Linked DNA regions of Daphnia pulex. Each later gene encodes a partner of the first gene's protein in a complex. Links are inferred from orthologs where the notes say so. Each region holds a gene or a part of one and is shown in the gene's direction. Other genes may lie near its edges.

Evidence for each region. The genes of interacting proteins can lie anywhere in the genome.
Region 2: COP9 signalosome complex subunit 7b-like (region 1) and COP9 signalosome complex subunit 4-like share a complex: the UniProt entries of both Drosophila melanogaster proteins name them as parts of the CSN complex. The link is inferred for Daphnia pulex from reciprocal best matches to the Drosophila melanogaster genes CSN7 and CSN4.

Annotation. Positions count from the first base shown.
Region 1 is NC_060017.1:4,235,161-4,239,250, forward strand, and holds COP9 signalosome complex subunit 7b-like, read left to right. Parts: upstream 1-1,536; 5' UTR 1,537-1,823; intron 1,824-1,895; 5' UTR 1,896-1,924; coding exon 1,925-2,089; intron 2,090-2,148; coding exon 2,149-2,313; intron 2,314-2,415; coding exon 2,416-2,503; intron 2,504-2,565; coding exon 2,566-2,819; intron 2,820-2,884; coding exon 2,885-3,016; 3' UTR 3,017-3,145; downstream 3,146-4,090. Other genes in the region: chloride intracellular channel exl-1-like, read right to left, coding at 1-60, 126-220, 297-381, 450-509, 578-613. UniProt on the Drosophila melanogaster protein: Component of the COP9 signalosome complex (CSN), a complex involved in various cellular and developmental processes.
Region 2 is NC_060024.1:7,065,574-7,069,902, forward strand, and holds COP9 signalosome complex subunit 4-like, read left to right. Parts: upstream 1-1,693; 5' UTR 1,694-1,841; coding exon 1,842-1,884; intron 1,885-1,980; coding exon 1,981-2,347; intron 2,348-2,412; coding exon 2,413-2,527; intron 2,528-2,663; coding exon 2,664-3,024; intron 3,025-3,076; coding exon 3,077-3,277; intron 3,278-3,339; coding exon 3,340-3,473; 3' UTR 3,474-3,504; downstream 3,505-4,329. Other genes in the region: trafficking protein particle complex subunit 9-like, read left to right, coding at 223-803, 877-1,080; HAUS augmin-like complex subunit 3, read right to left, coding at 3,505-3,802, 3,864-4,111, 4,199-4,329. UniProt on the Drosophila melanogaster protein: Component of the COP9 signalosome complex (CSN), a complex involved in various cellular and developmental processes.

The DNA of each region.
Region 1 (4,090 bases):
TTTGATCGCAGAATCAGCTTTCGGGTTGTCGTACAGTAGACGGTTGTCCGGAAATTTGTTCTGTAAATCAAATTTATAAAATTCGTCTTTGAGTGTACCTAGTAAATTCCAACTAATACGATTACCTCCAAATAAGAAACGATATCATCGATGTTGTCAATCACTTGGTCTCCATCTTCAAGGGACGGAACACGGCGCAATCCGCGTTGATGAAAAATTTCTTTGGAAAAAAGTTATACATTTATTTTTAGTCCATAAAAGTTTATGCGAATTTATCCCAACTACGGATCGTGTACCTGGTGGTTTAGCTAAATTTACGGTGACGGATCTGAAGTGGAAGGGATGCTGTAGAGATTTCGTCAATACTACCATGAAGGCTCTCTGTAATAATTGTAATAAAATCTTGTTAACGTAATCCAGATCCCCATTTAACTAAGAAATCAACGAACCTGACAAAATGGACAGGCTCCGTAGCGCTTTCCGTCTGCTCCCGCCTTGACGTACAACACCTAGCAACAAAAAATGACGTCATCGGAAAATAAAAAATGAAGCAAACTGGTAAAAACAGAACCCTTACCATCATTTGTTGTGAACTTTGAACATCTAAACTCATTTTTTCCGCTGCGCTCAAAATTTCAGATTTATTTACAAGGGAAGTCACTCTTGTATTTACCAAGTACGCAGACGTAAAGCACCCGTAAGGAAATATGAAATAGTCTGGCAGCTGCTGTACAGCCGCGATGAGAAACTCACACTTCTAAAACCCGAATAAGCCAAAATTTAACCAACAGTCTCCAGCAGGTTTATTTTTGGCCGCCCTAAACATGCACACTAACTAAATGAACCGTTTTCTAATATCAGCAGTCAGCACAATGTCGAAGTAGAACCAATAAAGAAGCAAAGATACGGGTGTTGAAGCTTGCGACACTGTCTGAAATTCGCAGTGGTGAACACAAGAAGAATGCTCGGCACCAAAAACACGAGACTAAAGGCTCTATCTGCCCATATACTAGCAGCTAACCGACGCTCAACATGAAATAAGCCCGAGGGACCACAACAAATGCTGTTTCCCAGTTCTTTTTTTATCTAAAAACTTTCACTCACTTCTCTTCCTAACCATCCATCCCCCCTCTCTCTTTTGCCATCCGCAACCCGCAAGTCTTTTTTCGGCTTTCAAGTCGGAATTGTTTTTTCACATGCTGTCATTTGTGCTGGTTTGACTCGACCTTTTTCATGTTATTGTTTATTGTACTTTTTTTGCTTTCAACCCACAGCCGAAATATGTGAATAATTAGTTCATCCGTTGAGGGGGGGGGGATGGGGTGCGGAAGGCGGAATTGACTGGTAAAGTGCGAGATTGAGGTGCGGATTCTCCGCACTTTACTTATTCTCCCCATCCGGACACTTTTGTAAAAGTTTGAATTTTTTAAAGAATTAATTATAGTATTTCTGACCTGATCTAAAGCAACCAAACCTAACCAGCTCTGTTTTAACTATTATCGCACAATCAAAAGTGACAATGTTGCTAAACTTACTAAACACAGCTTACTACAACATTAAGTCACATTATAAAATGAAACTAAAGTTATTTGTACTGCTGAATAGTGAATACGATTAATTTTTATTTTTGCGCCCTAGTAGTTTTGAACTATTTGAAATGCATTCCCCATTCCCATTGTTTCTGTTTCCGCGCAACCATATTTTAGAAGCTCCGAATAAGTTGCGCGGACTGCTTACAGACTACAGTGAATCTCATTCTTCTATACAATATACCTTGGCTATGCTATCAGACGTTGTAGTAGGTTATTAAAGAAGATCTTTTGGTAAATACAGCTTACATTTTATCATTTTTTTCCGCAAATGTAAGAATAACTGTCTCATTTCTGGTTCAATAGTCATTTATGCGAAAATTGTGGTGCCGAATATGACGACTGACACTAAACCTACCAGTTTCAACCCCCTTGAACAGTTTGTACTGTTAGCAAAGTCGGCTAAAGGGGCTGCAGCTGTTGAATTAGTAAAGCAGGCTTTAGAAGCTCCTGGCGTTTATGTGTTTGGTGAACTACTCGACATGCCCAATATTACAGAGGTGAATTTTTTTTATGTTTAATCGATGAAATTTTCTCATTTATGCATATTTTTTTCTAGCTTCAAACTGATCAATTTCAACCTTACTACAATTTGCTGAAATTATTTGCCTTTGGAACATACAGACAATATCTTGAAAACAGTAGTTCATTGCCCGAGCTAACACCATTTCAGCAGCAGAAACTGAGACACTTAACAATTGTGACATTATCTGAAACCAACAAAGTGAGTATTGCTATCATTGTTGCATGCAGTCATCAATGGCATCTTAAGTTAAAGTTCACAGCTACTGTAGTTTGTTTTTATTAATTGTTGTTTCAATTTTAGTGCATTCCATATGAAGTGTTGGTCCAACAACTTGATATGAAGAATCTCAGAGAACTTGAAGATCTTGTCATTGAAGCCATCTATGGAGGTTTGCCACCAAAATTATTAATTAATACATCTTGATTTTATCATCAACAATTATTCTTTCAGACGTTATTCATGGGAAATTAGACCAGCGTAACGGTCGTTTGGAAGTTGATTTTGCAATTGGTCGAGATGCTCAAGTCAAAGACATTGGCCGAATCATTCAAACTTTGAACGATTGGTGTGAAGCATGTGATGCAATTCTCGGAGCCGTTGAAACCCAAGTCATGAATGCAAATTGTGAAAAGGAAAAGCATATCAAGCATCGTGTCGCTATCGAGGAGGAAGTTTTGAATATTAAAAAAACCTTGAAATCCCAAGTATATCTAGCACTACAATTATTTGAAATTCTTAAAACTAAATCTGAATGCTTGAAACTTGACAGATCCAGGAAAGCGATGATATATCTCTTACTGGTGAAACGCGCAATGAAATGTTAGGTGACAAAGGTAAGAAGCTTGCCAAGGGAAAAGGATTGAAGACCAATGTTCCAAATAAGTTTTGGAATAAATCCTGAAAATTTGTAATTACTCCTTAATGTTTGTATTCACTTATCCCTGAAAGCATTGGACTTGATTCACCCATGGTATTGTTGTCTCAAAGAGTGTTCGCAATGAAATAAATAAAGAAAATTTCTTTAACTGCACTTGCTGACGAGCATTGATATTCATCATCCGCCAAGGCCAATGTCTATTTCTAGGAACTCGGAACTTGGCGGTTTTTCTTGTTCAAATTTTAGGTAGCTGTACAAGCATTTTAAATGCAGTAAAGAGATTCAGTCATGAAACCAAATAACAGTTGTGTACATATCTTCACGCTATTTTCAAATGGAAAACAAAAAAGCTTGGATTGCGCAACAATTTCGTCACAGTATTTTCATTTGTTCCAGACGCTGACTTTGAGCTTTGAAGTACCGTTCTGCCATGTAGGTAACTTTCTCGATGTATGTAATCCCTTTTGTGATCTCTTCCCCTATTCTGATGACCAGCAGACTTTTCTCTTCTAACCCTGTGATGTCACATGCTTTTTGGCTTAGAGTAGCGCAATTCACGCACGCATCGTTGAACGCAATCAATTTAGATGCGCTACCTACTATTCGTACTACTGGATGAGTACGGTAGAGGGCTCTCTCAGTTTTTAGATTTGTATTGCCGCTGTAGTCCCGAAGCACACGAAGGGTGCGTCCGTTTTGTAATCATCGAGTCATTTGATCACGTGATCTGTACAACAACCAGTTACCAACGAGATTTTTATTTCAGTAAGTTATCAAATTATCGGAGTTTGGTGTTTTGCGGTGCTGCCAAGTTGTGGTTTCTTCGTAAGATGACGTCTTTTTCAAACACAGCACTTTTTCCCCCTTAACCATATCAACAGATGCATATGCAGAATCCTAAATGAAACCTTAATAAAAAAAAATAACAAATGCGCGATTCTCTAAAGCCACTAAAATCTGTTGTCTTAATTTCGGTTAATCTAATGTTAGAGTATTTCAAATACTATTGGCGAGGGCTCAAATTAGTTTAAATAGGTTTAAAAAGTGTTTTCGCGCATTTAATAATTGTTTGAATAATTTTTGGCATCATATGCAATA
Region 2 (4,329 bases), on another chromosome or scaffold:
TCACCGCCGTTTCGATACACCATATTTAAAATAGTTTTTCTGGATGGCGTTGCATCGTCTCGGATGCACGAGTTTATTTTTTATAGCATCTGTGTAATAAATTCTTGGAATGCATATGAGAATGAGAGTAGTAATGATTTTTTTAAAACATTATTTCTCTCATCAGCTTAACATTAAGTAGCATAGATTAAAATTTAACGTTACAAATTCTTATACTTGCAGAAATGGAGCTACAGTATAGCAGTTGCAAACACATTGCCATAGAAGCGCTTGATACGTGTCGTATTCCAGTACCTGTTGAACGATGTCCATTGGTCAAGCTAACCCATGTTTACACTGAAAAGGACCTGAGTCCAGAACAGCAACTTGAAAAGATTGCCAGGATTTGCAGCGAACATATTTCCTCCTTAGTTGAGCTAAAGTGGAGCTTATCTGGCGTCAATCAAACTTGTACTTCTATCAATGAAAACATTGAACAAAACTCGACTAAAGTAATAAAAGGCAAAGCTTCGTTGAGTGGCCTGCGCATAGCTCCATCTATGCTGGATCTTCTACATATTCCTCCAATTCAGCTGGAGGTGGAACTAAACAATGAAATATGGTCAGCTGAAAGAACCGAATTTATATGTGTAGTGGGAGATGTATTAAATGTAACAGTCGGTTTATTCAATGCATTAAGTAAATTTTTGGGTCCGCTGAATCTTCAAATATCGGTATATCAAGATCTGCAAAATGGCACGTTTCATCGGCGATTAGACACACGCCTGCTTACAATTGGATCAGATCATGCTGTGCTAGAAAAGGTATTTATTTTCCTTATATGCTCCTTTAGTATCAAAATGTCTTATCTGTTTCTGTTTTGCTTTCTTTAAAAAGATGGAGCCAAACAGTAACTACAAACATTGTTGTGGCATAATTTTTTTTACACCGGGGACTTACAAGCTGGATGTTGTCTGCTCACTCAAAATTTCGACTCAAAATAGAGAATCGAAATCTAATCTTCCGTATGATTCAACTAATGAACAACATGTTTGGAAATTTGTCCCCTCGATCGAAATTATCGTGTCCGAACCATTATGATTCGAAAAATGATACAGGCAAATTTTACATGTAGTTTTTCATGTCTCATTTCATTAGTTGGCTTGTCCGAAATACAAAAAAATTTAAACCATTTACTGCTTCTAGAATAATAAAGGCTCTTTCCTAGCCCATAATAAATATTTTTTTTAAATGCACCCTTATTACCTGTGCTAAATATTCTGTCACGCTGCGACTAATGCGCGTTTTGGTTACTTTTTATGATTTGTTTCGCATGATGTTAATAAATGGATATACGCATGCTTGATGTGAAATAAATTGCCAATACAAATTTTGTCTCGATATTTCGAGGAACAGAAGACAAAGAGGTACGTATTACGTTTTAATCTAATTCACTTGCAGCTATTTTATGCAAAAAAAAATACATTTCTTAAATGAAATGTGAAATTTCACAAAAAAGTGAAACTTTGACTGCGTCTGATTTGTTCAAAACGGCAGATTCTAACGTCTGGCGACCTGACGTTAGAATCAGTGTATTTTTTTTTAAATTACGATTGAAAAATTTTTTCTCTTAAACAGTTTGTGATTTTCCCCAAATCACGCCGACTTCGGGAGTGAATAACTCTCGAACCCGGCCGGTCTGAATCGTCAGACGCGCCATCTCGCGGTTCTCCCACCCTCCTAAACCAAAGTTGATAGTCAAACCTTCTCTTAAAAGGTTTGTGTCTACTTTGACACGGGCTCCCTGACTATTGTACTTCGTAGTCTGTGGTTCTAATAGTATTTTTCAGTTAAAACTAAAAATGTACAACTATAAACAGCAATTGGCTGCACTTGTGAATTCCGGTAAAAAAAATTTCATATGATTAACAATTATATATATGTATGTGTGCATGTGTGTGTAAATATATAGGTGTGTAATTTTCACGAATTTTCTCCTAGGTGGATTCCATAAGGATCAGGCGGAAAAGTTTCGCTTAATCTTAGAAAGTATATTGAACCAAGATGATAGTGAAGGACTCGTTGAGGGCTTAAAGGCTTTAATTGAAACAATTGTTCATGAGAATGTTTCACTTGTTATTAGTCGCCAGATTTTGTCTGAAATAAGTTGTCATGTTCCAAAGTTGACAGATGACATGGGAAAATCTGTGTGCAGTTTTGCTCTAGGGAAAATCCAGCCACGAGTGATATCTTTTGAAGAGCAAGTAGCATCCATTCGTCAGCATTTGGCAGATATCTTTGAAAGAGAGCAATGTTGGAAGGAAGCTGCTAATGTCTTAGTTGGAATACCCTTGGAAACTGGGCAAAAGTAAATTTTTCAATTAGTATTTACTTGTGTAAATGATAATTTCACTGTCAAGTCAAACATTGTAGACAGTACTCCTTGGACTACAAACTGGAGACTTACTTGAAAATAGCACGCCTCTACTTAGAAGATGATGACCCAGTGCAAGCTGAATCATTTATCAATCGGGCTTCTCTGCTACAGGTATAAGCAATTTAAAAATCAGTTTCTTTATGTTAACTGTATTATAACTTTTCTGTGGGTTTTAGAGAACACTATTAATTCAGCTGTATTAACTGTAACAAATAATATGCTTAAAGATTGTTATTTATTTAAATAGGCCGAGTCAAAAAATGAACAGCTACAGGTTTATTATAAAGTTTGCTATGCTCGAGTATTGGATTATCGTCGTAAATTCATTGAAGCAGCCCAGCGCTACAATGAGCTCTCTTACCGAAGCATAATCCATGACGATGAACGAATGACGGCTTTAAGAAATGCATTAATATGTACAATATTAGCATCGGCGGGACAACAGAGAAGCAGAATGCTTGCAACTTTGTTTAAGGATGAGCGTTGTCAACAGTTGCAAGCGTACTGCATTCTGGAGAAAATGTATCTCGATCGTATTATAAGGCGAAAAGAACTTGTTCAGCTCGATTCACTCCTGCAACCTCATCAGAAGGCTAAGACAGCGGATGGTAATTATATCATCTGATTCATTGAAAACTGTCACTTTATTATTATTTTAAGGTTCTTCAATTCTCGAGCGTGCTGTTACAGAACATAACCTTTTGGCTGCGAGTAAACTGTACAACAACATTACTTTCATGGAACTGGGAGCTTTGTTAGAAGTGGATCCTCTTCGAGCTGAGAAAATTGCATCACAAATGATAACTGAAGGTCGAATGAACGGTTCAATTGATCAGATAGATTCGATCGTGCACTTCGAAAGTAAGTTGATATTTATTGTCTACAGTACAGTAATGTAAATATGTAATGTTGATTAATTTTAGGTCGTGATGTCTTACCGGCCTGGGATCGTTCAATTCAGTCACTGTGTTATCAAGTGAATAATATTATAGAGAAGATTGCTAGTGTAGCACCTGACTGGATGGCCAAAGCAATGGATGAACAAATGGTACATTGATATTGTGTAGTATGAAAAAGAAATACAATTTTTACATGGGAATTATTTTAATATTCAAAGCGTTTGTTCTATGAACCATTGATGTGACATCAGTGTAAAAAAGCGTCCATAATCTACGTTCTAGTACGTTCAGATGATCAGTTTTGAAAACGACCTGTTTAGTTTTGAATTTTCTGTTCAAGGGTTTCAACTGACTTTGAACGTCTCGTCTTACAACATTCAAAGTATCAATTCTTTCATCAAGAAATTGTAGATTAGAAGGTTTCTGCGTCTTAGACGTTAGCGGAAACCCGAAGAGCAATTCTTCCAACTTAAAAACCAGCTGCTCTCTATGAATACACAAATAAATGTAAATAACCAAACGTAAGACAAAGATGACAAAATCCTTACAGGCATTTTTGTTGATTTATGACAATTCTACTCAGTTGCCCTAAATTTGACTTGGCTTCTTCTAAATGATTTTTCAAAATAACAGCCAAGTTAATTAGTTCTGAGTAGTCCCAAGGGTCTTGCCTGCATTCCTGTTTGTATTGGAGACCCAATATAGTTTTCATTGAGCATGATGCTTCATCATGTCTAGGAATTGTGTTTCTATTGTGAAGGCTTTTTTCTAGATCAACAAACTGTTTCAATGAAACCTAAATATGAATGAAACATTTAAAGCCTAAAATATAAGGACAAAAAAGGGATCCCAAAAAAGAACACACATGTGAAATATTACTTACAAGTCTTTCAACAAGTTGATGATCAGATTCAAGAAGATACTGAGAAATGTGTTTTAAGGTAGATAGCAATGTTTCTAATTGTCGGCCTTCAAACCTTACAGCAAGTAGTACTAACTGCTCTCTAGCCCATT